Struthio camelus: one gene and its partners. Each later gene encodes a partner of the first gene's protein in a complex. Links are inferred from orthologs where the notes say so. Each region holds a gene or a part of one and is shown on either strand. Other genes may lie near its edges.

Region 1 (10,389 bases):
CCCCATAAGGTAGCAATTATTTTGCTGCTATACAGTGCCTGACTGTCAGCTGGTTAGATCCATCATAAAACACTGCAGACAGTGTTAATGGCAGCTGTCAATGCTAGAATGATACAGATTATCAATGTTTGCTACTGCTTATCCCAATGACTTGCATGTGAATTAATAATGACATTTTTACTTCGTTAAGCTATGCCATAGCTGACCTTTTTCACAGTTTTTGCCCTCATATTCCTTGGGACAACGGCAAACATAATCCTGAAGCTGATCATCACAACTCCCACCGTTCTGACAGGGATTGGAGTCACACTGGTTAGGGTCTGTAAAAACGTTCAGCGTTAGTCCAGATCACATGAAGAATTGCAGCAGCGGGAGCATTTTTATAACATGTGGAATTCTCATACCAGAATAGATGTGCCAGAATTCTGTCTGGAAGAAAAAGATGCAAAATTGTATTAAAGAAAAAAATAATTCAGATTAAATCCGACAGCCCTTGTAACAGAGGACGCATTACAGACAGCCACAGTGCTGCCCCTTTTTGCCTTTATAATTTATTAAATGGGATGTCCATAAAATATTCTACCTCATTTTCCTCTACCAAGAGAGACAAGCACTGTGTAATATGCACAAGTAGGTTCCCCTTAATAATCTCCCTATGGTTAAGGTGAAAACAAACTTATGGCATAATACAAGTATTTAAGGTATTTTCAGGCCTGGAATTATTGCAGTGGGGGGGCAGGAAGATGACTTAGACTCTCCTTTCCCACCATCCCCCAAATTGGTACTGCCTGATGTGGTCCATGTCGTACGCCCTTCACACTGCTGCAGTGTGCCCCCCTAGGTACCTAAGACAAAGATCCAAACAGCAGGACACAGAGCGTTTTTTTTGCTTTCATGGTTTCAAGTGTCAAAGAACACTTAAAAGTATACCCTTGAATAATGGGGAATTTCCACCTAAAGTCCCTCTGACTGCGAGCGCTTACCCAGCACTGTGTTACTTACTGTCCTTTCATCGTCGTGGTAAATTTCTCTTGCTTCCTCAAACGAACACTTTTCTTCCATGCATTCTCGCTCTAGTGACCCCAGTTTTATCTCTTCAAAGAAGCTATTGGCTCTTCTTTGCCTTTGCAAAAGACTGGTTGCCTCTTCCTGCTTTAAAAAGACTGAAAAACAATGGCATGTTCTGTTTGCCATACATCCTCGGTGTCCAGAAAGGATGGACAGCATGAAAGGTTTCTTCTGAAAGCTTTTCTGCTTTCCAGGCTTTTTATGAGAAGTCTTAGAATTAGACATAGTGAGCAAATTTGCGCAACCTTTCAGAGCCACCACCTCCTTTCTCTGACGTGCCTCCCAGGTAAAGTGACAGCACGTGGATTTTGCAGAGCCCAGAGCTTAAGAGAAGTGTTACGTGTCAGCAGTACACAAAGTATTGGCACACATTATATAGTAGGTAGACAGGACAGAGTTTCTTTCGATTCTAGCAGCTGAACAGCGCATGTCATTTCATCTAGTGCTGACAGATGTGGTGACAGCTCATTCTCCTGTACTCACTACAGTAAGTCACTTGGTGCCAGATGTACCACAGTCAACCCTAACTCCCCAGTGCTCCATTCATCACTGGTTTTAGCTCCAAACCTTTCACTCTTTGGACCTGCAGAAGGGATTTTTCAGGCCGCTAGTAGGCCACAGTTTGAGAAGCACTGCTTTAATATAGTTATCTTTACTTTTCTTCTGAAAAAAAGACTACATCATGGTACATAGAAAGGCTGGACAATGCCCTTTGTGTTGCCTAGTGGAGCCTGCATAGGGCTCCTAACTGCTGCTAGCACCGTAGACCACAGCCACAGGGGTCTTATCCCTGTGAGTCTCTACCGTACTTCGAAAGGACATTGGGAACACAAGTTGTATGGCAGATGTCATCAGAGTTCACTTCACAGAGCTACTTCAGCTTCCAACGAATGTAAATGTGCATTTAAAGACCTGATAGCATTGACTCACCATGCTGACCTCCTCCTAAGCTTCAGGATATAATCATACCACCAACTATGCCCTCCTGGTATAATTCAGGATAATAAACAGTAAGACCCAGTGCTGCAGTGTATTTTTGCTCCATGCACTACACTGCATGAGTCTTGAAGTGATTAATTTTGCAGTGTGTTCCTCCGTGTCACTAGGCAGTTCTGAAGCTTACTGACAACAGTTTATATCTCAGCACTTGCAACTATTTCACCTGGGATTGTGGGTAGATTTGAGGATTAAGGATGATGCCCTTGCCTTTCCCCCAGGACATTCTCCACTATGTGACCCCTGAAAGAGAGGTAATTACCTCCTACCTCCTGGAAAGGCTTTGAGGTGGTCTCTGAAGGACAAGATAAAAAATCGGGGGTGCATGTGGATATGGACACTCATATCTATCCTCACATAAATACACACAAAAATAAACCCTGAGAGGATTTACTCCGGTCTGGTGACTTTGTTTCTACTCGTTAATCTCTAATCAGAACATTTGCTGAATTACATACAAAAACAGTAGTAGTTTTCCCTGTATTATGAAGTTATTTGAAGGAATAACTTGTTGTGTGGTGCATCTAATTTGTCACAGGATGCTTCATAAGAATTTGTCTATTGTAGGAATGTTGCTGTTGATTTTTGTCAGGTTGTAAGCTTTTAATTTGGCTTTCTTTAAAGGATTGTAATTGACCTTACGCTGCAAATACATTACATATGCATCAGTGTGCCTGCATGGACCCTAACGGGGGGATTTGCATATGTGCATGGCTTGTGACCTCCTCCCACCTTTATTTCTGTATTCTCCACTTATTTGCACTGGAACATTATAGACTTTTCTGTGATTTTTTTTTTCAGCTTTGTCTACTGCAATTCAAGAGGCCTTGTCAATGGCTAACTGGGCATCTTAAAGCACTTGGTCCCCTCTCTTAATCTGGGAGGTTATTTTCAGACATATACTGATGCTACTGAAAAGCTAATATCTCACTTCATTCTACTACTGTGGAAACATAGTGGAGCTTCACCCCTCTAGTTTCTCATCAGCTGAACGACAGACTGTTAAATCTCTGCTTTGAAAAATTCCGTAAAACAGGTGACCATAAAATAGCAATAGATCCAAATCCCTATTTTCACCTAGTGGGCAGACAGCTGATGGTTTACCTGCTGTCTGTGCAGTGAGAGACTAGATTCACATATGCGTGTAGAAGCGATTTTCCCCACTCGACAAAATAATCACATGGATGCCATCACTGAAAGCAAACAAGAGCCTTTAACTCACAGGCACAATGAGAGGCTGGGCAAACATTTGCGTATACTCTTTACTGAAGAGTGCTCAAAACTTACAATAAGAATTTCACCTCAAAAATGGAAGAGAGGTCCACTGCCAATAATCATAATTAGAGCCATATCCTATCACATACCTGCATCCAGAGAAAGAGGAATCAGGAGCGGGAAGCAGAGAAACAAAGCTGTGTACAGCCTGGAAACCATGATGACCCCTGCAAGTGTCCCAGTAATGTATTGACATTTCAGCAAGGACTGTTTAGCCAGAGAGCTCAGCTTCAGACGCTTCGCGCTAGAGGAGGGGCTGGCAAGTCATTACAACAGGAAAAGGTCCATTACAGTGATGACAGCAGAGAGAAGTGCGCATGCAAGTCCTGCAATGAGTCCTTTCCACACCAGCAAAGGGCTTGGTTTTGAAGCATTCTCTTCTGACCTGTGCAAAGTCTATGCTGATTACAAAGTCTTCTGTTGTGGGCCTTTATTTACTATCTAACATGATATTTGATGAGCAATATAAATTCCAAGGACTCTGCATCTGTCTGAATGGCACTAACTTGGCTACAGTGCCAGAGAAGCAGAGAGCAGAGAAATGAAGACACTAATCTTTAGCTTGAATTGGCACTGAATGCATAGCCTTTCTTTGCTTTGCAGAGTGGTCAAACTATTGACATCTGTCTTTTCCCATTTCACCAGCTGAAACTCTGAACTACTGGCTGAATTTACTTGGAGACACTAATTAACCAGCAAGAAATACCCTGCACTGCTTTGCTCTGTTTTTGCTGCAGGACCCACAGAGCTTGCACGAGTTCTACCAGCTGGAAGAGGTGCTGAACCCAATACACACTATATGTAATTAATAATAGTAGGGGTCTGAGGGGCCAATCTGCAGACAATATTTTATCTGGAAACTAAGCAGTCCTCTGATTGAATAGAAATCAATTAACGGCATGAGACTAGAGAGCTGACAACACTCTTAAGTAAATATTTACTTAAGATAACAGAGAGGTAAAGAGCATGTTTGCCTATGAGAAGTGAGGCATTCCCTAAGGGCTGGAGTATTTTCCAGGCAGTTCTCCACTTTGTAAGTGTAAAGGAAGGAGGGTCATTCTTGCACATGAACATTAGAGCCAAGAAAGCAACAGCTGTTTTTTTTACTTTGAGGCCAACGCTCAGCTTAACTTCCTGCAGAAGTCATGATTGATTAGGAAAGCTAGGGTCCCAGCCGTTCTTTGCATGTGTTCCTGTTATTTAGCGGCAGTGCGCACAGCTGGACATCCTGCTTTGAAATCTGTTTCCCAAGAGGGGGCATTCGGGCACTTCCCTGGATCGCAGCCTGGCTCATTCCCAGCAGCTCAGTTCCTGGGATTTTGGGGACTGGTGGCAGGTCCTGTCCCAGGGCAGAGGAAGGAAGCCGGTTACTAGAATACAAAAGGAGCTACAGCAGCCCATAGCGGTCCTCACCTCTGCTTTTGGGGAATGGCCTCCACACCTCATAGCTCGACGACATGGTCCTCATTCCCCTCTGCATCCAGCTCCAGCCACCATGGGGGTCAGAGAAGAGAAAATCACTGAAGGAAGGAAAACACAGGCTAAAAGACCTCTCGGAGACCTCTCTGTTTGCTAGGAATGTGGGCTGGTGGGTAAAGGAAGAGAAGGAAAGAGCAGACAAGGAGAGGAGCATGTGGAGATCATGGCGGCAGCAGTGCCGTGGGGAGTGCACTGGCTCTTATTGCCAGGCAGGGAAGAGCTTTGTGTCTAGGCAAAAGAGAGGAAGGGAGGAAAAAAATGGGACTGGACATGTGCCTGCACTGGGGCAGAAGGAAAAACTAAAGATACATTTACTCGAAAAGCTGAAGATATATTCCCTTGCCTGCAGCCATTAATGTAAAATAGTAAGTACATATTCAGCTTACAAAGAGCTAAGCTAAGTTTGTCGGAGCTGCTTGAAAACTTTTCTTTTTGTCTGCTCTTCTCGGGGAAAGATATCTCCTCTGTGTATATGAGCAAGCCTCTACCTACCAGTCGTGCAAATCAGAGTGCAAGGCCGTGCTTCTCGCACTTGATGCCACCCTGCCTTTTGTACCGATTGCCACTCGTAGCAGCATTTTCTTAGGCTGCTCCTTTAACTAGCCCTGCTGGAAATGATGGCACGTGCAGAAAAAGCTTCAAAGTTAGACATTATCACTGTGGAGCACCTAGAACATTTTTCAATACCACTTTTAGATCAGTGGCTAAATCTTTATGCCAGATTCCCAGAAAGGCATGGGTGGATATCTGCCAGTGCACTGCTGGAGAGACTGGAGTGGCTCCCACTCCACAGCGGCGTCAACACACCTCTGGCACCGCTTCACTTTTGTGTCTTCTTTCTTCATAGTTGGCAGGTTCTGTGCATCCTTTATGGCTGGTACAATATTGTCCTTCCTTCTTCCTCTTTTGGCACTGCTTAAGCCTGAAAGATTTTGCTTTTGCTGCTTGGGAATATAGAAAACCACTTTTGAATTATTTTTAGAGCCTAGGGGGAAGCCCAAGTGCTGGGAACAACAGTCAGCGTTCAGGTCATATGGCGACAGTCTTTCTTCCAAGAAAAATTCATATGATTAGATTTCATTAGGGATGACAAAGGTGACCAAGCCCATGAGGGGAGTCACTGGAAATTCAGCAGTCCCAGAACGTCAGCTCTTCTCTCAGTTACATTCACAGTAACATTAACTAACAATATTCACAGTTCTCTTTTCAAAACTGTTTCCTGCTAACTTCAGAGGGCCAGTTCTTTGGTTAGAGTCGTGTTACTTAAAGAAGAGCTCACCTCCCTTTTTGTCTTAGACCCCAGTTTGGGGGCCAAACTTAAGTTTGTTAGCTTTTCTTCCCCAGAGGATCCCTAAATCTCCCATTGATTGTGCGTGCGTGTATGTGCGTGAGTGCGGTCTTGCTGTAGTACATGAGAATTACCTTGGTATTCTGTGCTATGAATCTCCTTGATGCTGGAGGCTTCAGTCCTGGCTTACATTTTCTAAGCAAGTCCAAGAAAAATAATCTACCGTCCAACTAAAAGTGAAAATATATTAAAACAAACAAACACCCTTTCTGTTCATGGGTACTACTAGAATCAACCTAGTGTCAGCTGTTCCGGAACTATGACTTAGGGTGCTTTGTAGCATATGCTTTTTTGGATGTGTCAAAATTGCTTTATTTCCAAGTGGAGATTAAGCAAATAAACATCAAAAATGTTAACAAAGTGAAAAAAAAAGTCTAAAAGCAGAAACATTAGCCTGGAAGACATGATGAACTGGTGTCTCAGAACATACTGTTCTTTGTTCTTTTTTTGTTTCATACTGACATTTTCAAAGAAAAACTTACAGTTTTGCTATTTTTAGTTTGATATTTTAGGTTGAAGATAAGACAGATATGAAAGCTTCTGGGAACACTGCAACTTGATCTGCTTTACCAGGTCACTGGTTATTTAAATGCGACTTTTCTGGTCAGTTCTCAGTAACAATTTAGAAAACTATTCAATGAGTTCTATTTCAGAGAGACCATAAGAGATTGTTCGAGTAGACTGACATGACTGAGTCTAGGTAAGAAAAGTTAGGAAGAAGTTGCCTCATGAATTAATGGAAAAGTCAGCCTAAATCTCCAATAGCCTAACCTAAATCTCCAATAACAAGAGTAACCTGCCATCATTCATTTATGTGATGAATTAAGAAGAGCTTACCTTCTTTGTCCACAAACTAAACCTGTGATCAAATCAATCATTTCCTATTTCTGTGATACTAATTAAAAATATATATTACTAAACCTTGAAATAAATGATTTGCTTTTTAGACTTCAAAAGAGAAATATTCATTGCTAGGAGAAGATTACTCCACATGTCTGTTTTACTGAGTTCTGTATCCCTATTCAGCAATTATCCTCACAAAGTGAGAGTAGAAGATGGGGAGAGGATATTTTTGTGCATTTTTTTATGATCATCTCTGAATATAAATGTTTAAAACTTTTTTCTATTTTTTAATCTTTTTTTCCTCTTCTTTTGCTGCCAGAGAATATCTGCAGATACCCTGATAACAAAGGAAACAAAAAACATAGACAAGGCAGAGCAAAATACATTTGAAATAAAGGCAGCGTGCCCCCAAAGTTTGTCTGTTTAATGCCTCCTGTTGTAGTTGGTAATAAGAAATACTAGTTCTAATACATACAGACCTTTTCTTGACTATTTCCTGAGACGCAGCCACAACATTACCACTAGTAAATATGTAGTCTTTTGAATGCAGGTGAGGACCTTGCTGCCTTGTCAGTTTATATGAAATGAATAAATATAAAAACCTGAAAAATGATTCATTGATTCACTTCAACTGATTTGTCAAAGACAGTATTTCAGCACCAAACCAGCTAATCTTGGTTAAAGTCCTTCAGAACAGAAACACAAATCTTTAGCCTTGATTTTCTACCACCATCTGTAGGCTGCTGGTGGTACTGGTAGCGAGCTGCAAAGAAGCCTAGCAAACACCTTGTCACACCTCAGCTTTTCTTTTATGTAGGTCTCCTGCTGCTGTAGGGACTGAATTTCCATGGGGCAGCATTGCCTGTGTCCAAAGGGCTCTGAGCCGCAGAGCAGCTGGGGAGCATTCCTCCTGGTTTGCCTTTCCCCTGGCTGCTCTGGGGCTCTGGCCACAACTCGGCCTCTCGATTAGACAACCTGAGGGATCCTTCTGTTGCGCTGGAGAAGGAAACATTGCCAATTTGTCTTCTAGCCTGCTTTTTTATACACCGTGCTTCTTTTTGCCGAGGCTTTGTCTACACAACACACTGCCCCAAGATATTAAAAAGAAGACTGTAGCTTTGGCCGAGGACACGTCCCTGTGAATATCCCTTGGAGCTATCAAAATGGTTGGAGTCCATCAATATTTTGTCGTGTTTTTTTTTCCGTTTGTGTATGACTTGATATTTTGAGCTAACCACATGCAGCAGAGCATGAGCAGCCAAGGGAGGTCCTGGAGGACGAAGCAACTGTACCAGCATTTCTCCAGCTCCAGAAGAGCCTCCCCCCCCCCATGTCACATCTCATCGCCCTGCGCACCCCCTGCAGCTCCCCTGCTGCCTTTCGAGGGTGGCCCTTTACGGGACAGCACTGGCATTAAAGAGCCTGTCTGGCCCCAGGGCCACATTCTGGTCTCGGTTCCCATCAGTCCTGGGAGCTGCTGTGGTGGAAAACTGCCTGGGGAAGGGGGGAGATGATTGAGCTGCTCCTTGACCTGGTCACTGCAAGGCTGCCAGGGCACTAGTGCTAGCGAGGAAGCAGGATGGGAACTCGCTGCGTGGCTTACAGCAGCCTGGCAGCAGCTACACAGCAGCTACTTCAATCACTGACACGTAGCATTTTTCTTGTTAAAACACTTTTTGTGCCCTGTGTGCCTCACACCACTACACTCACCAGTCCCATGCCCTGCCTCAAAAAATAACCCTTCAGCTCTGTATTCTCTCTCTTTTCCACCTCGTGATCTTTGGCCACTGTGTTCCCCCCAATCTTCCCACAGCACTTTGCCAGCATGCCAGCCCTCGTAGTCTCTCGCCCCAGGCTGGTGCGAGGAGCAGCTGCTCTGGTGCCTGGCCAGCGTGCGACAGAGCCTCCTTCACCTCGGCAAGGCTGCAGTAAGGCGGATGCAGAACATCGGCGTTTACACATTTATCTATGTGACTTGCCTTTCGGCCTTGCAGAACAACAGCTCCAGTTAAACGAGTAAGAGCCATTAAGTAAATCAGCAGTCAACTTGGAAAATGGTACTGTTCATTTCCTTCAGTGTATTATTAGATATGTGCTCTTAGAAACAATCTAGCTCCTGTGGCAAACTCAGCCCACATGTATCAATTCAGCTGGAGTACCTGTAGAGAAGCGGCAGCTGAGTTTCTGCTTGCCAAGGAGCTCATCTGCAGAGGAAGCATGGAGAAAGGGGAGGAAACAAAGATCCCGGAGCAAGAACCAGGCAATGGGGCAAGTTCAAGCAGCCACGGCTGACAGACGGTGGGAACGCAGCCTTGGCTGCTGGTGGCCAATAGGTGCGTGAAGGCCAGCAAAGTGGCTGTTAGCAGCTGGAGTATTTAACAGAGCAGGGAGACAGCAGGGAGAGAAGCAGAGCAGCAAGTGCCTTTGGGTAGGATACTGGCTGGAGCTGGAGTAAGAGACAGGGTTTTCTGAGGATACGAAATCTGTGGGGTACTCAAAACTAAAACCAGCTGCAGAGAGTTGCAGAAGAAGCTCGTGATAGTGAATGAGCAGGTAGCAAAATGACAGATGAAGCTGAAAAGAACGGATGAGAAAGTAGCTGGGAAAACTGCATGCCCACAATGCTGGGCTCTAACTTAGGGCCACTGTAGATGGGTCTTTGAAAATATCAGCTTGATGTGCAGTGGCTGGGAAACACCTGGAAAGGAATAAAAAACAGACCCCTCCCCAAACATTGTTATGGCCCAAAATATCACTATTTCTGTGGAACATTCATTCCATGAATACCATATACATTTCTGATCACCCCACAACCACTGTATTCAGGATATCAGAGGGTACATCCCTGCTTCATCCTTTTCTAAAAGCTCTGGACATGGATCTGTTCCCCAGGAATTTGTTTAATCCCCTTTTCAACATGCTGAGACTGCCTGCTGCCACCTCCTGTGGCAACAAATCCCCAAAGATGCCACCTGCTCTGGGCAGAAGCACCCTTGCCTCTCTGCTTTAAACCAATGTCCTACTTGTTTTTCCCTGAGGAGGGGGGATACTATGGATGTGCAGAACAAGAGTTTTGCATTCAGCTCAGCCACCACCCTCACAACTTTGGAAACTTCAGCCAGTGCCCCCGAGTCTTCTCCTCTCCAGCCTCAAGACACTCAGCCTATCTCCCCTCTCCCTACGAGGGCAACATCCCATGCCCCAAAGGAATTTAGCTGCCCTTCTCCCGACTTAGTCTCTACCTCCTGGATATCTTTCCTAAGGGGAGGACACCAGCCAAGCTCACAGCACTCCAGCTGGGGGCAAACCAAGCACCTCTTCTAACAAAAGATACTATTTTTATTGCGAAAGGGAAGACCCAGAGAAGAGTGACAAGCGTA
Region 2 (10,000 bases), on another chromosome or scaffold:
GGCTGATGGCTGGAGAAGCAAAACTGTATCTACATTATGTAATTATCAGTGTATAGATTGTAATTCACAGTCAAAAGCTGTCTATATACTCCTGTGCTAAGCAGGAACTCTTGTGACACATTTTTAAGTCAGCCATGTGTTTGGAAAGCCCATCGACTCCACCTTGGTTTGATACATGAAAGCAAACTTTGGAAGTGGAGAAGTCATTTCAGAATGAAGTCTTTCAGGCTGTAGATGAGTTACAGCTAGGACTTACACGGGTGAATCAGGCTAGTTCTGTCCGATTACCAAATCCAGAATTACTTTCCTATACCTAACCTGATCCACCATCCTACAGATATAACATATTATCTCTAATCTATTCACCCCCTGGCCAGCAAGGAAGAAAGCATCAACAGAGTAATGTAATATCAAGGAACACAGAGACAGCACATTAAAGAAACTCTCAATGTAAGTTTGCTGCGTAGCTTCAGTACAGGAATGTTTTATGCTCATATCAAATTACTCCAAAAAAGAAAGCTGTATTAGAGGATTAAACATTATAATAGCCAAGTCAAACTACAGTTTGCCTTGCTTTCTGTTACAGCACCTAAGAACGGGTGTAAAGGCAGCCTAGGGACCACATTTTTTCAAACTGAAGCTCTGTCTATTTTACCTTCAAAGTAATGCTCACAACAAAACTTTTTAAAGAACACTGGATCTGACTTCCAGTGTCTTCACAGAGAATTTATATATGCCACATCTAATATGAAAGATTACCCTTGTTAAACATTTATAGGAGGAAAGGACATAACCTTTATTGGTTGCTAAAAATAACTAACTGGTAGGATTCATTTATTACAATTGCTTCATAGAAAAGTCATGAGCCGAGATCACATTTAGTATGAAAAAAGATGCCACCAATAATGTGCAAACCTCCTTTTAAACAGGTTCTGTTTTTACTTAATATTTATGTTGCATTTTTCTCAATTTAGTCACTTGATATTCAGAAAACAGCCCCAAAATAAATTTCAGGGGAAAAAGTTGAGTTTTTTTGACCAGTGCATAAAGAACACGTACTGGTTTATGAGGAAGAACATTAAACCTCATTCTGATCTACTTATATTAAAATAAAATAGGAGTACCTCTACTGACGTCAGCAGAGATTAAATTTACAAAACAAGCTAGCTGGGATTAGGACCACTAACTTTACCAAAGAGTGTCTCTTCCTGTCACACACAAGCATAGGAAGAAAACATAAGTAAACAAGATCTGGTATTTGCACTAGTGCCTGTCATCATTTGGAAAAAAATGTTTATGATGGATGTTCCAAAGAACTGCAAGATTAACTCATGTTATTAAGACATTCTCAGGTAACGGAATTACTCTAAGAGGCTACTCCATTGTTGTGGTGGAAGATCTGGTACAAAGAGGGGACTGACAGCATTACAGTGTCAAACATACATGGAACATTACAACAGTTTGTTTAGGTTAACCAAGACCATCTAGGCACAGAAGAAATTGATACAATTTAGGATTTCTCTCTATAACCATAGTTTTTGCTACACTTTGATGACATTTATTACTAGTTGGTATTACTTGCCCACTAGCTAGGGAGTGTCACTCATCCCATTGATGTGGAGACTTCAGGAATAAGTACTACTTCTCCTCTTAGATATGAGGGTTGATTCTTCACTCCTTTACACTAATTTAATGACATTGCTTTCCATGAGAGATAGTAAAATTACACTGATTCTATTTCAGTACATAAAAAAGGGGACTAGGTACCAAATTTTACAGTGTTACACCAAACTCCCCAATTATAAATACTGCTATACACACTTTGTCAATACAGCCATTTTTAGATAAGCTCTAAATCTATAATGTCTGTAATTTCTTTAACTTTTCCGGCTTGCTGTTCAGTGATGTGCCAACAACCTACCATTCATGTTACAATTACAGACAATCAGAAAATGCAGTTGTTCAGCAGTTATAAAAATTGGTCAGTAATAATCAGAGTGCACAGTGGAATTTTTCAGAGACAGGTTTAACTTTTGACCGCTACATGTAACTAACCAACTCACAGGTTAGTTCTCATACCCACCCTCCATGCTTTGGTGCAGAACATTAGTGCACATCCATTACTCAGCTTTCTGAAAATTTATGTAAGTATCTAAATATTGAATTTTCTATAGTTTTCCTTTATCTTCACTAGAGAATTTCAACAGATAGAAGTTTTTCTTTGCTTAATAAAAAAAGGAAGCATAATCCTGTGATTATGGTACAAGACTGTGGTATAAAAACAATACCTCATACATTCCGGACTTCACCACAGACTTTCAGTAAGTCCACAGAAAAGTTGGGTCCTCCCTACATACAAAATGGGTATAATACAACTCACAGGATATAATAAATCTGCATTAATTAAGAATTTTAAGGCACTTACATGCAAAGGCAGAAAGTATTGATGCAACTTGCACATACTGCAAGACTTTTGAAGGGCCTTTTCCTTTTAGCAAGTTAGTTGGAACTGAAAAAAACAGAAAAAACAAGACCTATGCCAGGGACACACAGTGCTATTGAATTTCACAGCCTATTTACTGACACTACATACAGGTACGTTATACCTGACAAAACTATTTAGTTACCAAATATATTAATTATAGTACTGATCACAAACAATGTTTAAAAGGCAGTGGTGTTTTGTGTATTTATATATGCCTTTATATCACTGTGTTTGATGCAACATACTTGCAAGAGAGATGTTAAGACATTTCTGGAAGCAGGCATCAAGCAGAGATTGCTCCCTAACCTCTTATTTTATCTACTTAATGCAATTAATTGCATATGATAAGTTCTTACCCAATAATATGGCTCACTGAGATACATTAAAAACCAAGAGATGTGAAAGGCAGACCAAAAGGAGTGAATATCATGAGCAATTTCATTTTGGAAAAAGCTCTTGGAGATTTCAGACATTACTCACATGAGTAAAATTTACACTACTGGGCATGGCAATATTTCTGACTTGAATGCTAGCATGGAATGATGGATGTTCGATAACACTACAAAATTTCAAAACATTAGCAAGCGTTATAAAATTTTACTTAAAATATTGCATAACTATGAGCATAAGGAACCTGATCTGTAACTCATGTTATTTGAGGCACTCCACTTCTGTGTCAACAACTATGTATGACAGTACAGAAAGCTTATGAGGAAATTGCTTAGCTATCTCTAAGCTAACCAGTTTAGCAGACCTGGCAGATCATATGATACACACAAAAATATGCATCTCTCCAAAACAGAGGGGTTTCACAGGTTTAGTTTCCCTTCTCTCCTCACCTTTCCCATAATCATTATGTGGATTAAAAGGGCCTTGATAAACATTATATAATGACCAATAACCCATCTGCAGGTTGGTTCAATGGTATACATATTAAAGAATGAGAATCTGCAGAGCCTGCTCCTCATCTGGGAAACTTTCCCCATGGTGAATAACCTTGATTCCAGTGTGAACTTGCCAGAGGTGAACATAGAGGGCGAAAGGTCATCTCCCTACCCCAGGGCATGCAGCCAAGCTTGCGCTCCCGCATTTGTTTGTTTACTGCATATTCAGAAAACGTACAGTAAGAGCCTGGGTTCCATCAATGGAAATCTCCCATTTTTTTCAGTATGTAAATAGATTAATATGATTTGCTTTAGATGTCTATACTAGGAAAATATGCATTTCACTTTCGGAATGAAATTTTCCTCTGCTGACTGTAAAATGAGCAGAGGATGACTAAATCAGTTATAGACATGTACACATCTACATCTTGACATTTCACCATAGAAGTCAAATTCCGAATTTCTAGAAAAATTGCAAGAGCTCTTAAGTCAGCAAAATGCTTGCCTGCATCTAGCAAAATATCTTTAAAATAGTGGGAAATTTTTCTGTCCTAAATGTGCTATTGAAATACCATTGAAGTGGACAGGAAATGTGACCTAGAAGGTTACAGTGAGATCACCTAGTTGCTGAGCAGAGACTCTAGGCCCTGACAGGCAGCAGACCATGTCAGGCAAGGCCAGGTTGCTCTACCCCTACTGGTGCCTGGGGTCAGGCAGCGCTGTGCAAATCATCCTTTGGTCAAATCTGCGCCAAGACTTGGTGAAAGAGGAGAAGAAAGAGCAGAGGTGGCAGCAGCAGCAGCTGTTCCTCACCTCAGTGCTTTCCTCCTTTGTCACTCGCTCTTTTCCCTCCCAACCTCTAGCCTCCCTGTCCCCTTGGCATCCTGTATCTCCCCCCTACCCCAGCTTTCAAATTTTCCCTTCGACTTCCTTCTCTCAGTATGACTAGCTTGGTAAAGTTACGCTATTGCCCCCAACCACACGATTCCCTGCCTCCTGCTGATCCATGCACATCCTTCTGCTCAGGCCCTGCTTCCCACTGCTCTGGTAAACCGATGGCCTCCTTCCCTCATGCCACAGCACGGAACAGCACATCTGAAAGCCTGATGTTAGCGAATACCAGACTATCTTGCTGGAATTTGGAATAAAGTAACACTGGTCAAGCTGGTTAATCTGGGTAGAGTCTGGAAGGTTCCCAGCCAGCGAACCTCTCAGACATGAGAGGGCATGACGGAGGAAATAGGAGTGAGGAAAATAGAATAAGAAGGGGTCAATGAGACCATCTCCAAAAAAACTAGGAACCACAGCTGACCTGCTTTCCATCCTTTATGACTGCAGATAAATTTAACTGGAATTAGAGCTTAAAGGTGATTTAAAATACTATATAAATGCCTCTTCTTTAAACAAATGAGTATCTTTTCTCCTTGTAAAGTCCTCTGGGAATCTGTGATTGTATGAGATCACAATCTTGAAAATCTAGTCACACAAGATAATCATCCCATACAAAGTTAAAAGCACGTGAGTTTTTTGACTGATGTAATGCTGACATACAGCTGCATAGAGGTAGCACTAAAATTTGAAAAAAAACAAGGCAGAACAATCAGAAGGTGTATGGTGGCTGGGTTTCAATGAAGGTAAGCTGATAATTTAAAATTCTGGGTTTAGATGCACCTAGAGACATACTATATGAATTCCAGTGCAGACTCCAGTTGAAACTGTAGTTTGGTCCATAGATAATTTATGTTACATTATGAGGCAGAACTGATTGTATCTAAGTATGTAGCAAGCATGAAAATTAAAAGGCAGTTAAATATGAAACTTCCCCATTACTCTTCTCCTCCTACCTATATCTTTCAAGTATGAGACACTGTAAAGATCAGCTTCAAAATAAAGAGAAAACTCAACTTAACACTACAAAAAGTATCTATCCTCTTTCATTTTTTTAATAGGTTCTACTATGTAGCATGTTTCCACCTTCCCTGTAGAAGACTCAGGAGCCAAGAGTGGAACATAGCTCCCTCTACAGCTTGAGTATTCGATGAAAACACAGCAAGCAAACCCCCACCTCTGAAAACCGCGTTTAAGTGCTTAATCCAGCCTCAGACAGCTGGTATCAGGGGAAAGAGCAACATATATACAAGAGAGGACAGGGAGCACGTGGCAAAGGCTGCAGGCTGAGATTTGAAAAACCTGCTGTCGGAGACAGAGCCTGTTACCTGTGCGAATGACACACATTTCCAATGTTAGTTTATAAGAAAATGGTTAACAGGTCCTTGATTTATGGGGAAGATGAAGTACAAATCTCTGAACGCTTGGAGGTTATTTGCTGTCTGGTAGTACAAGGGAACCTCGACAGGGTTCGCATACACGTGCATAGGGAGTGAGAGAACCAAGGATTTGAGCTGGCTGAACGGTCATATCCGATGGCTCATGTGGTGAGATAGGAACTGACATACATATCTAACCCTCCAGAACTCACAGAGTCTAAGTTAATTAACCAGACATCACTTCCCCAGGATCACCTGCCCTCCAGAGCCATCATTTCCAAGCAGGGGCCGTGGTAACACCAAGAGGTGTTAATCTCTTGCCCTTGACAGCCAGCCAAAGCTGTGTAGTGGTTGAAGCTGGTCCTTGAGTGCTGCCCGCTTTCACCAGTAGTTCAGCCTACGGCCAAGGGAGGGTGAATGAGGTGTGGTACAAGTGTATGGCGACACTGAGAAGGCAGGAGAGCATTCTAGGCACTGCAGGCGCATCCGAGTGGACGCTGGTACTGGGCACCGTGCCGGCGTGACAGTGGCAGGACTGGAGGCGACCTCTCCCTGTGCTCCTGCCGGGGACCTGCCGCCCCTTCCCTCGGGGCTCCTCTCGTTACAGGAAGGCCAGCTTCCCCGCACATCCCCTCTTCTCCGCTTGCTCAACGCGGCTACGTCGGAGCACTTCCGCCAGGCCCGCTCTCTTTCCCCGTAACCCCGTCCGAGCCTCCTCCGCTCCCACCGCCCGTCTCGCCGCGGCGCCCGCGGGCGAGGCGCCCGCAATCCCCGCCTCTCCGCCCGCTCATATAAGGCAGCGCCTCCCGCCCCGTCGGCAGCTCACCGCGATCAACTTTGCCGCGCTTCGCCGACCCGCTCCGCCGAGGATGCTGCGCGCCCCCGCCGCAGGCCGGGTTCTGCTGCTGTGCGCCCTGCTGGGGCGCCTGGCCGCCGCCGGTGGGTAACGGAGGGGGGCCGCGGCCCGGGGGCGCCGCGGGCGAGGGCAGCGCCCGGGCAGAGCCGCGCCGGCGGAGGGGCCGGGGGCGACGGCTCCGGCGCGCGCGGGCTGTGCCGCGCGGGGGGTGTCTGCGGCTCCGGCGCGCGCGGGCTGTGCCGCGCGGGGGGTGTCTGCGGCTCCGGCGCGCGCGGGCTGTGCCGCGCGGGGGGTGTCTGCGGCTCCGGCGCGCGCGGGCTGTGCCGCGCGGGGGGTGTCTGCGGCTCCGGCGCGCGCGGGCTGTGCCGCGCGGGGGGAGGTCAGAGGCTCCGGCGCGCGCGGGCTGTGCCGCGCGGGGGGTCTGCGCAGGGTAACGGCTCCTGCCGGGGGACCCCGGCTCTCCACCGGTTATGCTTCAGCACCCGAGTGGCGGTGGAGCGCTTGGGTCACTAAAGGTTGGGATTTTTTTCTTTTTTTTTTTTATTTCTTCTTCTTCTTTTTTTTTTTTTCCTGAAGAGGCTCCTTTATTTTCATAGCTGGGGAGGCGTTGGGGGCAAAGAAGGGGCATTTCATAGGTCGGTTGCTGAACACCAGTAATAGGGAGTAAATTGCTCCATTTCTTTTGTCTCCAGTTTCCAGCTTGTAGAAGGAGCAGAGAAGGCTGTATTTAGAAAATAATTAGGATATCACCAAGGGAAATCCTTAATGTTCAGAGGCCGCAGACGCTGTGGCCCTTCCCTGCGGTGTGGGGTTTTCCCCTGTGGTTCTTCCCTCGCAGTTCCCAGAGCGCGTGTCGCCAGAGCCACCGCTGCGGGCGTGCAGGGTGCCTCTGCCTTTCTTCCCCTTTGCCCAGGCTACAACTAAATTCTGTGGTAGCCCTTCTCAGATATAAGCGTGTAGGGCAACTACTGGGTTTTTTAAGAATTTATCTTCCTAAAATAAATAGGGAAACTAGCAGTTAATGGTTTCTACAAGTAGGAATGAATTTGAACTATACTCCATTTGTTTTAGTGCTTTGACATTCCCATGAATATCTTCAAGCTTTTGTAGCATCTTAAAAGGTCTTGTATCAAAAAGTAGAAAGAAGCATTAGGCAGAACTCCACTCATGTTTCATATTTCTCACTTTTGCCAGGATTTAGTAAGACAAGCATGAGCCCGGAGGGCAGGACCAACCCTTTTCCCCAAGACCTTCAAGCAGCAATTAGCAACAACAGCTTCTTTTAAGTGAACGGCAAATGCAGGGGGCCGGGAGTTGCATATAGTGTGACTAATGGTGCTCTTTTCTATATTTAAAGGCAGTAAAGATCTACCAACAGCAGTTAATATAACTTGGTCTTCGATCAACTTTAAAACAATACTACGGTGGCAACCAAAACCATCTAATTATTCCTACACAGTAGAAATACATGGGTAAGTAGATAACATCAAAGTTGTGTACGTTAATGACAATTGAAGAAGATGCAGATAGTGAGTGTCTGAATATTTTTGAGAGTGAGCATAACAGGAAAATAGCCCAAAAATGAGGATTTTGGGAAAACTGCCTACCCAATAGTTATACCTTCTTCATACCCAACTGTAGGAATATCTGATTCATGATTCTGGTTTCATCCACTTCAGAAATGGGTAGTTCAGCTTTAGATCAGTATTTCAGTTCTGGGGTTCGGTGCAGGCCAACTGGGCGGGAGATCTGGGCCAGGGTACATTGAGGCAGTTGACTTTAGACCATGCAACATATACTTGATAGAACGTCACCTTTTTATGTCTTTCAAGCTGTCTGGATGGGGTCTTTGTTCTTTCTTTAATCTTGGGAGGTGTCTGATAAATGAGTCTGAATTTTATACTAATCAGTGAATCACCATCAATGAAATGCTGGGTAATACTAAAAATGACCTTTGTTTGTCTAGCTCTATCAAAGCATTGTCTGTTGTCATGATTATAGAGGTTATAAAATACTGCAGACCATAAAAAACAGCCAGCCTATATGAAGTGTCTAACATTTCTTTTAAAACTTCAGTGAAGTTCAGTAATAAATCTGTGCGGTACTTAGCTCACCTATTAATTCACAGACCATTATTAAACATGCCCTGAAGAGAAACTGCATCAACTCTCCTACACAGTAATGAAAACATGGTACTGTAGCCACTTTTGTCTATAAAAGTTGTCTACAAATGAGAGTTCTCTCATGACTAATAAATGAATGTGCAACGGTCCAATGCCCTCTTTTACCCTTTATTCTGAAAAGAGTGATTAAATGAATAGACTTTAAAGCACATGCTTGAGCAGAATGGCACAACATAGCTTAAGAGCTTGATCCTACAAAAAGGTTTCTCATGGGCACAGAACCTTATCCAGCAGTCTGCCAAGTGAACTGCTTGTGAACCTGGAGTTTCTTTCCTGCTGTTTGTGCTTGCAAAAAAATGAAGCCTGTTTGCCCAAAATTCAGTATAGAATCAGGTACAGTTCTGATACTGAGGAACTTCTTTAGACAGGATTGTCTTAAGTACATTTCAATTTGTGCTTTCTGATATATATGTACATTTAAAAGAGTATGTTTGTTTTGTTATAAACATCAAATCTCTTCTGTCCCTTCTCAAAGCATCCGCAGACCACTGAAACTCACAGATTTGTTACATCATATGAAATCTGGTGAAGCAGGAAGGGAGTTCAGGCAACTCTTGAATAAAACTCTTGCTTGCCAGACCTTAACCTACTTTGAGGAAAATTTGTTTGTTAACTTCCAAACACTCAACACTCTTGATCTTTCATCTGAGTTCACTAAATCTTTTTTTGTTCTTAGTTCACCAGCAAAGACTGGGAAAAGAACTGAAGCAGTAATATCAGATCTACTTTTCTATTTCCATTTATTAGGAAGCAAAGTGGGGTGCTAACATTTTTTTTCCAAGTGTAGTTATTATTTCTCAAGTAAATGACCCTGCCCTTTATCATTTAAAAATCAAGAGAAGTCCATGAGTCACGTTTTTTATTTTTTGTATTGCTTTTTATTCTCAGTAACATTTATATCTACACAGATACGAATACAAGTGAAATATGAGGAGTCGTTGTCATTAGATTAAACAATTAACATTCATGTGAGCAGAGCTACCTAGGATAACTGACGTTTCTTTAGGCAATAGTTTTCGTATGCATCATTGATCAAGGATAAAACTGTCAAAGTGATTTATGTATCTAAGTTCCCTTATATTTTTATTGTAAGTCAACTTCAGAAAAAGCCAAAGCCAAAATCCAAACTACTGATGGCTTTCTATCATTTTTAATTCATACATGTCTCCAATAACGTCTTCTTTATATAATGCATAGTGTGACTCATATTTGATTCACTTGCTTCCAATTTAAACTTGAAATATACTTGTTACAGGGTAGTGTTTTTGGGTTTTTACCTTATCTATTTCAGACTAGTACACCTATAAGAATGTTGCACTGAGTGA
Region 3 (11,072 bases), about 50 Mb from region 1:
CACAAGACCTACAACAAAACTACTCACAACCACCAAGTACTGAAAACAAGACTACCACAATTACAGCTCAAGGCTTCAATGATTTAACAACTTGAATGAATTAAGTGCTATGAAGTCACAAACATCTAGGAATTCTCTCGTGACGGTCTTCAAAAAACAAAGTAGCTGGGACAAGTGACATTGGTAATGACAAGTGCTGTGCTGTTCAGGAACTAGAGCCCTCTGAACACCCAGAACATGTCATTTGTTTTCAATTTAATTAGTATGTAAGCATTCCCATACTCCACACTGTTCAGGAATTACTTTGGGCCAAGAACCTGAAGAGCTTTGCATTATTCTCTGTCTGAGGTGTAGCTGATCAGGGTTGGTTGTTCACATGAACTTCTGCACAACTAGCACCTCCTGTGAAAAATGTACAGGTCCCTAGAGCTTCCCTGGGAAGCCACGTTTAGCTACACCCTTAGAGCCAACAATGTCAACTATATGCAAGCTGTCTGCTCTAATAAATGTTGTCTCAGACATCCTGTGCTGTCACCTGTGTCCTCTGAAAAGCCCTTCCCATGGTTACTTAGCAGAAAGTCTATTAGTTCCAGCTGTGTGTCTGTCTAGGGTACAGCCGCCTCAACCTGCTGTAGCTATCACCTGAGACCTTCACAGTGAAAGGCAGAAATTTGTGCTTTTTCTGTCTGCCCTTCAGGATTTGGAAGATATCTTTTTTCCACAGCATGCACTGTCTACAGCAACCACTTCACATGATCATAAAGCCACCACAGAGCACAGCTTGGCAGTAATTGTTGTTTCTTAGTGTTGCTACGCATATATATCATTTGTGAAACACTGCCAATCCTAGATTCCAAAAAATCATACTTAGTTTTTGTTCACCTTTTTCTGTTTACTTACGTTGGCAAACCCCCACAGGTTATGATACCCGTTTCTGCTAGCACAGACAACGATCTACTGCATCTGAGCAGTGCTGAAAGTGTAACAGACTGGCACTGCCCCCCTTCTGGCACTGTTCTGACACCACTTTCCACCAGCACGCAAGGTATAGGCAATGGGGCTAACTGCGATACAGCTAACTGTCTGTGCCAGCTAAAGTGTGGCACACTGACGAGCATTACTTCGTGTATATCAAATTCATTGTCAGTAGATGCAAGACCTGAACCTTATAACGTTATAGTATTTTCCAATAAAGGCACCAGAGGAATATGAAAATGGCAGCATAGGGCTCCTTCATCAAGCCAGTGTAAACCTAAGTTACCCTTGTTCTAGAGGGTCAGTGTTTTCCACCAGCACACACTCTTCCCTTTAACATCGCTTGTATTTCTTTCTGACTATTGAGGGAGGCAGAGATGTCTCACGTTGCCTTCAGACTCTAAATGACTTTCCGCATCTTTAAACTATTTTCCTGCAACACTTCAAGGATCAGTTTTCTTCGTGCCTCGAAGAAGTGGTATCTAAATAGCTTTAAACTGAAACAGGGACAGAATAAGCTGTGCAAATCATTTTCTACTAGAGCCTTAATTACATCCTGCAGTGTCTCATCCTCAGCAAACCACCAGCAATAAAAGTCTGCATTTCATTTGAGAGTTGGGTTTTTTGTTTTGTTTTCCCCAATTGACATATACATAATCTAGCCTGGGACTTTGTTCCACTGCATTTTTGTCAAAGGCACTAGAGAGTGTGCCTGCAACTACTAAATCTTTCTCAGGTTCACATTCAATTTGCAAGTTATACAACTGTAGCTAAAGAAACAGACATTCTATTTGCAGGAAGGTGTTTGCCAGCTCCCCACTGGCTACGGCAGTAAGTGATTTATAATCAGTTTTAGTTAATATGGCCTCTCAAACAGATTTTAAAAAGTCTTTGCAGCCATGGCCTAAGGCCAAGACTTTTTCTATAGGAATATATTCAATTTTAGCTTATGTTGGTGCCTATGGTGCAACTGCAGAGGGAAATGGCTACAGTACTGAACACATCCTCTTGATGAGCCTAAGGACCTGATACTTCCTGAATGTGCCAGCTCCCCCCATGCTCCACCATTACAAATCTCTCCTTACACTGGGGTTTGTGCAGGGGTATTGGTGGCTTTTTTTCCCCCTTAATTCATCTTTTTGTGCTAAACCAAAGTCCTAAATTTTCTGATCTTCTCAAAGAACAGTGGATGTTGCCTGTTCCCTCGTTGGCAATACTAATATGAAGACTTGAATTATTACTCCTGACTCCATCTTTGTATGCATACTAATAAATCCCAGTTTGCACTAAAAAGGCGTCCCCCTTCCTTCTGTGGGCTGCTACACTGTGTTCCTATTACAAAGAATTCTTTGCAAGTCACTGCTGTCATGAGCACAGCCACCCCCTGGCACATACAAATTCCTCAAAGGATGAAACCACTGCAGTTCTTGCATCTTCTCTCAAGCTCTCAGAGGTGCATGCTGAAGGAACACAAATCAGCTACAAGTCCTCAGATTTGGACCTTCAGGTTTGAGCTACAGGTCCTTTGCTCCATTTTTCCCTTGGATCCTCTACTGTTCCCACTGCCAGAGCCCTGCTCATCTTCAAATCCTCGCAATCAACTGGATGACTTCCTTCACTGGGAAGTCTCAGATGGGGCTTCATCAAGAGTCAACTCTGCATGCTCCTGGACTTGTTTTCTCTCAGTCCATTAATTCTGCAAGCTCTACAGAACGGCAAGATTGGATTTCTAGTGTTAGTTCATGACCCTACCTCTTTCTGGGTGTCATTCTGGTACTCCAAATCACTTCTCATGTAGCACTGTTGTTGCTCTAACAGTCTCAATTAGCCTCCTTTGCTTAAAATAACTGAATATTCAATACCAAATACCCCGAGCCAGGTACTGCAGATGTGGCCACTTTCCTGAACTTACTAGCCACAGTCCATCGCCTCCGCAGCGCTGAGAGTTACAGGACACAAATCTCACAGCCCAAAGGGAAGAGAAGCTCCATGTTTATAAACAGAAATAGTCTTGTCTCTCTAGAAGCAATGCAGCTTCTTATGGGACCGGGCACACCCCCAAGAAGCCCTGGTAATGACAGCCAAGTTTTGAACCTCAGCAGCCTGTATAGCTTCCTTCCTCCCTTGCACAGCTGGGCTTTGAGACTACTGTCTGCACCAGCCTAGCCCCACAGATGATCAAGCATGAAAACTATGAAAAGCTACACACTGGCTGCCTCACAACTACTGAAAGCTTTATTTACAGTGCCTGGATATTTCCCTTCTTGCTAGCACTTTTTTTTATCTGCACCTAAACCTTCCTAGTTCTCCATATTTCTGAAGAACTTGAGTGCAGGTAGGGCAGTCATCCTTCACTCAGGATATTGTCCTAGTCCATATTCCGTATAATCAGAGTGCCAGGCATTAAACAAAACTCTGCTTTGTTTGATATCTGCATGCTAACTGCTTGCAAGATACAGCATAGACCAATATATAATAGAGCCAGTTCCAATGTGCTCTTACAGCACACCATCTTGATAACGCAGGAGGAAAGAGGAAGGTAGATTCAAAAAGTCCACACTGAAAAAGAAGCAAGAGGGGGCAATGATGGAACTTGTCTCAACCAATGAGCTATGGAGCCTGGTAAAACTGTGCCATCCCAAAAGCACTTGGAGAGAAGAGAATGGGACTTAAGAAAAAAATCACCATCAAGTTCAGAAAATTCAGGACTTCCTTTGTGTGTTTAGCACCAGAGGGTGGCTTAAGGGAGGAAAAAGCTCACCAGCCCCCCCTCACAAGCAGACAGTAGCAACTAGCAGAAAAGCTAGACTATAGCTTTGAGAGAAACTCAAGATCTAGAAAGTAAAACACTTTTTTTAGCTCAGTCTTATAAGCAGCTTAGAGAACCAAACCCTTTCCCAAGCACCCTCCTTCTAACCTACGTTGGATATGTAAAGCAAGGACACCAGACTTGCAGCCAAGTGATTTTCCACTCTAGGCAGATGGAACACGATGAAAGTCAGTTTGTGGGTGTTTGTGCTTGATTTGGCAGGAAAAAACATGAGAAGGACAGTGTTTGAGGGAAGGTATCAAAGATCAGAGCCAGATGCTCCTTCACAGAGCTCTGGATTTGCAGGAAATTAAACAGGTAGAGAAGGTGAGGCAAAGGGTGTGTTTGAAGTGAGAGTCAAGGGGCTCGAAGCTTACAGCCATCCAAGATGCTTGGGGGAAGCTACAGCACATTCCAAAACCACACCACAGTGGCCTGGGGTGCTTTCATTATACAAAGCCTGGGAGAGCAAAGGCTGTAAATGCAGCTTCAAAAGGAGCTTCATCTTAAAGTCTTAGCTCTCAGGCTCTATTAAACATTTATGCTAACTACCACTCCTACTCTTTGCCTCAGAGAAAGCACCCAAAATAACCTTTGCTACTGAGCAAACTACTACAGTTCTGCTGACTGTGTAAACGGACTAGCATGGAAGCTGTGAGAAACAACCAGAAACAGTGTTGGACAGCACACTGATGTGTCTATTTGGTGAGCAGGGAAAGAGCAGGAAAATCTGGTCTGGAACTTGAAGGGGAAGACAGAAAATAGTACCAGAAATAATGGGTGGATTAGATTTGTAGAAACAGGTAGGGCTGAGCGAGACCATTGGAGGCAAGCAAACATATCCAACATATCAGCCGTTTCTGCTTGATCCTACCTTAAGGTTCATACTTTTGGCAGAGTCTTCAGACGAGCCTCCGGTTTTGAGCCCATTACTACTAGAACTGTAGAAGCGACAGCAGAAGATGAAGAAACTGGATCCTGAGTAGAAAGCAAAAAGACGACAGAGGGATTCTAGCAGAAGTTGGAAAGGGATTAATTTCCTGATTTGCTGAAACATTCTTTGGCCATGCAACACAAGTTTAGGATGGAAATGTGAGACAGAAATACTCCAGATTTTCACTGTAGGAAGCTGTTACTACTAGTAGCAGACAACTATACCCACAACACATTCACTTACTCACATAGTTCACTCAGTTACCCAGCTGGAGCAACAGCTGAGTGGCCACCCCAGCTGTATGTATACTCAGTAGTGGGTAGCGCTGACACATTAGCAGCTTTTAGGTAGGTGTTGGGAAAGTCCCTCAAACTCATTTATTTCAAGAGATGCATATATAATCATGTAGTCTTTGTTTGCATACAGAAACCCCTGCCCTCTAATCACACAGCCCACTGTTGACACTAGCGTTTGCTTGTGGCCTTGCACAGATTCAGCAGATACTTGGTGCCCTAAGTTATCAAGCTTTTGCAGATTCAGCAGAACTACTAATGCCCAGAACTTACCAGTCTTCAGAAAACTTTCATACTTTCTCAGCATATACTTTTCCTCTTTGGCCTGTTTTCTGGTAACAGTTTCTCCACCCAAACCTACAGATACCTATAGAATCCATTCAGTCTCACACAAGAGGCCTTTGTGACAAATTTCATTGGTGGTTTGTGTGGCTAATCCTTCAGCCTTCCTGCTACATACAGGTGCAAACTTGGTGTAAAGCCTGCAAACAGGCTGCCTCCTATTAGTGAGCAACCACTGAGCCTCCTCTTAGGATCCGAAATGCCTTAACATGGATCTGGGCTAGGAAAGATGAAGGTTTGGTGTTCGCATTTGAACACGCAGACCCCAGGAAGAGGGATGGTCCATCCCAGACTCAACCTAGGGAGAAAATGTTGATCAAATGATCTGGATTTATGTGCCAGATAGAATAGTGCCTGCATAGCCCCTGCCCCTCTTACCTACCTTACTTGGCTGCTGATCAGTATGGCTATTACATCCAGGGCTTTGTTAATGAGCCTGTCTCCTGAAGACAGGCTGAGCTGACCCAAACATTAACTGTATTCTTAGAAATCATTTTGGAAGGAGACGGTCCTACACATATTACATTGATGGCTTTTGCAACGCTGATATCGCCAATTCTCAGTTCTAGTATTTCTTTCCCCCCTGCCCAAAGCCCACATTCCTGAAGTTGCAGGAAAGTTTACACAAGTGAACCTGAACTTTTACACCATAAGATTCATGACTTAATCCCAAGTGATTAAATTGAGTCAGGCCTTGGTAGTAGCAAGCAAGATGGTGGATTCTTGCTTTTGGGTACCTCTCTGCAACTCTTGTAGGCAGGCTAACACACACCGAGGAAAGAAGGCAAATTTTACTCTTTGGTCAAAATAAGCCTGGAAGTACCAGACAATGGGTGCTAGTAAAGATGGCTGACAAAACACTCTCCCCAGACCTGATCTGTGGTAAAACCCACCTCCATGCTCTTCAGTTGAGAGGTTCCTCCCCCAATCTTCCCCTCAAGTAGAGATAAGAGAAGGAGCCTTTTGCTTACACTTTGGAAGAAGCGTTTTTGGATGATTTCGGGTGTCCAGGGCAGTTCCAAAAAGCTCCCAAATCCACCGAGGGCTGCTAGATACATAGCAACCATATACAGCTCAGGAATTTCCCAAGCTGAAAATGGCTAAAGCTAGGAGAGTCTTTAGAGGAAGTGTCAGAAATACATGCTCTGCTCTTCTCTAGGCATCTCTTTTTTTGGCTCTTTCTTTCAGCACTCAGCTCCCAACTACTGTAAATAACAGTCGAGTTTCCCACAGGCGGGGCAGTCGCAGGTGTCGGCACAGCCGCTCTGCAATGGATAACCTCCCCCTGGGGAAACCACTGTCCTGGTCACAGTCTCCCTGCCAGGTCCCCAGTGCTCATGCCTTTATTTCAGGACGTTAAAAAAAATAGTAGTTTCGCAGCTCGACTTCTCCCAGAAAAAGCCCCGTGGGGGCTACACCGAGGGCAGCGCAGCTGGCGATGGCACAGCAGACGAAGCCCAGAGGGGCCCCACGCCCCACCACAGCCACCCTGCGGGGCTGGCCGGCCGGCCGGCCGCAGCGCCCCGCTGCCACGGCCCGGCTTTGCGTGGGCGCTCCGGGGACGGGCTGCCCCCGGCAGGAGCCCCCCCGACACCAGCCCCGCGGGGCAAAGGGGCCGCGCCGCCGCAGGAACTACAGCTCCCACGAGCCCCTGCGGCATGCTTCGCGCCCCCCCCGGCCACGGCAGCGCCGCCATCTTTGTGCGGGGCGGCCGCCATCTTTGGTTGGGGCGCGCCGCCCACCGCGGCGGCGGGACGCGCAGGCGCAGGGCGGTGCTGGCGGCGGCGGCATGGGGCGGGCGGCGGTGGCCCTGTGGGCGCTGGCGGCGGCTGCCGTGTGGCGGCCGGTGGCCGCGGCGGGCGGCCCGGCAGGTGAGCGAGCGGCGGGGGACGCCTCGGGGGCCCCGCGCGTCTCCCGAATACGCTGCTGCTGGGGTGGGGGAGCGGCCGCCGGCCTTTAGCCGTTAACCGTTAGCCTAACGGCGCGGTCCCCCCGGGGGGAGGGAGCCGGCGGGGCTCAGGGCCCGCCCTACCCCCGTCTCTTACCTCTCTACCTCAGCCGCCTGTGCCGACGACCCTCGCCCTTCCCTGCCTCCCTCCCGCCGCTCGCCGGGGCTGAGGCGCCCCCTCTCCGGCCCCGGGCAGCCTCCCGGCCCCTACCCCGCCGTGGGGGGAGAGGCTGCCTGCGCCAGGTTCCCTTTTATAGCGAGGCTGCCCCCAGGGTGCCAGGGTGCGGTGCTCGGTGCGCTGCCCCATCGCCGGCCGAGCCCGCACCCGTCAGCTGGGTGGCCCCAACTGGGTGCAGCCGGGCTGGTATCCTCGCGTGTGGCGGCTTCTTCCCTCCGTGTGCTTTGAGGGACTGCGGCTAACCTTAACTAGGGTTAAGGATATCACTTCCGGAGACGATTCTGTGCCCTTTGTTAACACTGGTAGAACTAGCAAGGTATGTGTGCCCCTCACAGGTGCGTAGCTGAGGAAGGAAAGCAAAAGAGTCTGACCGTTGATCTCTGTGAGCTGGAAGAATTAGAATTTGCCTTACTCTCTGCCTTTATTTCCTTCTTCTGGAGAGAAAATCACGTATAACATACGAGGGGGGATGTGCACCAATTCCTTATAATTACAGAGACGAATGCAGCTAAGCCACTTTAATAGTCATAGGTGTCTAATGCTTATTCCGGGAGTTGAGTTTGGTTTTGCAGTCTGGACTCAGCAAAAGAAAGAATCACTGACACCTAATTGAGGATTGTGTCGGTGGAGCAGTCAGGGTTTGAATGGCTGAATGAGTGAGTAGAGGTTCAGCTTCTTCCCATCTCTTGAGGTGGACAGAGCACGTTCTGTGTCAGGCACGCTCTAGTTCAGCTGCATGGAAAGTACTGAAGTGTGCTGTGGGATCATGGTGCATTGCGATTGCCGTGATATCAGCTGGACCAGAAATCCTGTTCAGCTCCCAGTAGTTGCTCTCGGAGTTTAATGGATAAATTCCTTTGACCTTTCTTTTCCTGTATATTTTAGATGCCAAATGGAAAACAATAACTGACCAAATTAACAAAGCTTTGGAGGTCTATAAGCCATGTGTGAAGGAGAATTGCAGCTGTCACCAAAGGTGAGAAACTGGTTTCCTTTTCCTGGACAGGCCCCTGCCCCTGAGAGGGAATACTCATTCTGGCACTGATGGGTGGGAATTAGCTATGGAATATTTGGGCTCTAAAGTGTCACACCTGCAGCCATCATAGGTCACAGTGCTTAGGAGGAGGAGGTTATTAATGGTACTGTGTGAAACGGTTTGGCTTCCAGCTTTCCAAGAGAAGGTGTGTCCGTGCGCAAACAGATCACTGTTCTTGTTGTCCAACTGAACAACGCAAACTGTGTCAGCGTCTTACATATGATCACACAATACACCCGTCCACGCAGCTGGTGATATTTCTGTGTTAATGATCCTCTTCTGCCTTCTCTCTCCATGGGATGTTGCTAACAAGTCTTTCTCTTGAGCTTTTAGAAGTGAAAGAGATCAGGAACATGCAAAATATTTTAAAATAACCAGATTAAGAAGGATTGTTAGCGAACACAGATTCCTTTGGTCTGATATTGTGCTGTTCCCTGGTACTTTGCGTGCTGCCTGTGTCAGGACAGGGCTTCCAGTGGAAGAAGGGAGGAGAGAATTGGAGGAACACTGTTTGGAGAGAGTTTAAATCACTGCCTGTGAGAATTGGAGAGGCAGTGGATATTTAACTACCTGACTTTCACACGAGCAAAGCATGATCCAGGAGGAGCTCGTTCAGGAGCTTCTACTGCCTATTTGTAATTGCGGAGCATTATGCGGAGTGCTAGCACTTTAAATGTCGGCCTGATCTTCCCATAGTGAATTTAATGGAGAGAGCTAGGACCTTTCGTATGTGAATGCAAGACGTTTGCAGGTAGTACAAGGGTAGGCTAAGCTGCCTTGTAGACCTAGCCAGACCAAACTTCACATCTGTTTCTACTGACTGAGCATGACTTCAGTATGGAGAACTTACATTACAGATGCCTAAGCCATAACTGCTGTGTGGGTAGGGGCTGTAGGACTGGTTTTTGTTTTTTGGGGGGTTTTTTTGCTTTTTTTATTTTTATATATATATATATATATATATACATACACACACACACACCCCTCTAAGCAGCTTTTTTTATTTAAAGGGGGAGACGGAGTACAGGAAAGAGTCGAAATCCTAATTCTTCTGTCTTTGGGATCAGGTTTCCAAACACAGATGCCCAGCTTTAATAAGTCTCCTATTTAAAAAAGTATCAGCTGTATCATTTATTTTAGGGATGAGATTGGGTGCTATATTGGCTTTTAATATCAAGTGAGTCTTATTAGGCAGCTGTCTGTACACTGTGTTTGGAGCTTTTGATCTTCACTGAAATACTGGTGAGGAAAAGTCTCTTTCAGTTTAGTCTTCCAGTCTTTTTGCTCAGTTCCAATTCTGATATAACTTGAAGATATCTCCTCAGCTTTAAACATATATGCTGTCATCTCCTGCCCACCTTTGGAGGTTGTAACCATCTGGGAAGGGGTTGTACCCAAACTTGCTTCAGAACATGATAATTGATAGTAACAGGAAGTTACAGTTGCTGTGGGCTCCAAACCTAGTGTAGTTCATTTAAGGGTTGTATTCTGTAGTGACAGGCATTATAAAAGAAGCAAGAAAAATTATATAGCATGTACACTGTGTAACACTAAAACTCAGTTAATTTTGTTAGCTGATTTGGAGATCTTTAAATGTGCTGCAGAACACTGAAAGCCGTACTTTTCCACATGTAGTAGATTCTACTTGTGTCTGGTTTTGTGCCAGTCAGTGGCCAACGACTGAAGGTCCGAACTTGTTAGTGACGACTGGAAGGTAGTGACCTAGATTAACGCGACATGGTTGTGCCATGAAGCTCTCTTGCTTTCCTCCTGTTTTCAAGCACATTACGTTTCCATCCTTGCCCGACAGCTCTTCCTGTGGATGGCCCATCTGTTATGCAGCAATTTTTTAAAGTAGTTTTACAATTTTATACCTGATAAATCTGTGTAGTGTTGTATTAAACCAAGGCTTCAATGCCAAAAAGTAGGGAGGAATTCTCCATGGCTCTTTTAATCTGTCAGTTTTCATAACTGTTCCAAGCAATTAGATCTGAGCACCTTTAGACTAAATTTACATAAACTGCATCCTCCTTCTCCTGTCTTTCATTACATTAGGTTTAGGTTAGGTTTGGTTTATATTTTCATATTAGGTTTATGTTTTCATACCTCATTCCTGGAGCTCACTGGTGATGTACAGATGTCACAGAGCATACTCTCCTTAGGCCTGGTCTTCTGGACTGGCTTTCACTGCACACAGCATGATTGGAGGATGCTGCTTTTTGGGACTAGACTCTTGACTTCTTTTTTATGGTCTATAAATACCATACAATACCATATAAATGGTATTGTATGAGGATTTTGGTCCTGATGTGGCCTGGCATTCCTGGAAGGCCAGAGCTCAAGCTGCAGGACTCAAAGGTTGTGAGCTGAAGACTTTTACTCATAACATGCCAGGGTGTGTACTTCTGGGGCAGTAACTGGAGTGTCTGTGTTAATTTAGCTTCAGAGTCCTGTATTGGGCTTTCTGTTCAGGCAAATGGCGCATAGATCATCAGAGAGCAAAGCTAGGACCTTTGTGTCTCTGAGTAACAGCTGTTTTGGGTGAGTTAAATCAAAT

Evidence for each region.
Region 2: the proteins of F7 (region 1) and F3 are in contact, whole or in part, in a crystal structure (PDB 6R2W), measured with the Homo sapiens proteins. The link is inferred for Struthio camelus from reciprocal best matches to the Homo sapiens genes F7 and F3. Residues at the interface, in NP_000122.1 of Homo sapiens: Leu73, Lys78, Phe91, Arg96, Leu99, Phe100, Ser103, Ser120, Lys122, Gln124, Leu125, Ile129, Cys130, Phe131, Cys132, Leu133, Pro134, Phe136, Glu137, Gly138, Arg139, Lys145, Gln148, Ile150, Val152, Asn153, Glu154; in NP_001984.1 of Homo sapiens: Thr49, Asn50, Lys52, Ile54, Glu56, Trp77, Lys78, Ser79, Lys80, Phe82, Tyr83, Glu88, Asp90, Asp93, Gly141, Gln142, Thr144, Glu162, Arg163, Thr164, Leu165, Arg167, Phe172, Tyr188, Trp190, Lys191, Ser192, Ser194, Ser195, Gly196.
Region 3: the proteins of F7 (region 1) and POGLUT1 are in contact, whole or in part, in a crystal structure (PDB 5L0S), measured with the Homo sapiens proteins. The link is inferred for Struthio camelus from reciprocal best matches to the Homo sapiens genes F7 and POGLUT1. Residues at the interface, in NP_000122.1 of Homo sapiens: Asp108, Gln109, Cys110, Ala111, Ser112, Ser113, Pro114, Cys115, Gln116, Asn117, Gly118, Gly119, Cys121, Gln126, Ser127, Tyr128, Arg139, Asn140; in NP_689518.1 of Homo sapiens: Met103, Phe104, Pro105, Ser106, Arg107, Arg132, Asp133, Pro171, Ala172, Trp174, Pro178, Thr179, Thr214, Asn239, Gln240, Ala241, Val274.

The regions. Positions count from the first base shown.
Region 1 is NC_090942.1:156,877,556-156,887,944, forward strand, and holds the start of F7 (coagulation factor VII), read right to left. Parts: upstream 4,003-10,389; 5' UTR 3,499-4,002; coding exon 3,429-3,498; intron 1,164-3,428; coding exon 1,003-1,163; intron 430-1,002; coding exon 405-429; intron 321-404; coding exon 207-320; intron 1-206. UniProt on the Homo sapiens protein: Initiates the extrinsic pathway of blood coagulation. Serine protease that circulates in the blood in a zymogen form. Factor VII is converted to factor VIIa by factor Xa, factor XIIa, factor IXa, or thrombin by minor proteolysis.
Region 2 is NC_090949.1:18,032,857-18,042,856, forward strand, and holds the start of F3 (tissue factor), read left to right. Parts: upstream 1-6,060; 5' UTR 6,061-6,505; coding exon 6,506-6,575; intron 6,576-7,849; coding exon 7,850-7,964; intron 7,965-10,000. UniProt on the Homo sapiens protein: Initiates blood coagulation by forming a complex with circulating factor VII or VIIa. The [TF:VIIa] complex activates factors IX or X by specific limited proteolysis.
Region 3 is NC_090942.1:106,512,985-106,524,056, reverse strand, and holds the start of POGLUT1 (protein O-glucosyltransferase 1), read left to right. Parts: upstream 1-7,110; 5' UTR 7,111-7,142; coding exon 7,143-7,224; intron 7,225-8,364; coding exon 8,365-8,455; intron 8,456-11,072. UniProt on the Homo sapiens protein: Dual specificity glycosyltransferase that catalyzes the transfer of glucose and xylose from UDP-glucose and UDP-xylose, respectively, to a serine residue found in the consensus sequence of C-X-S-X-P-C.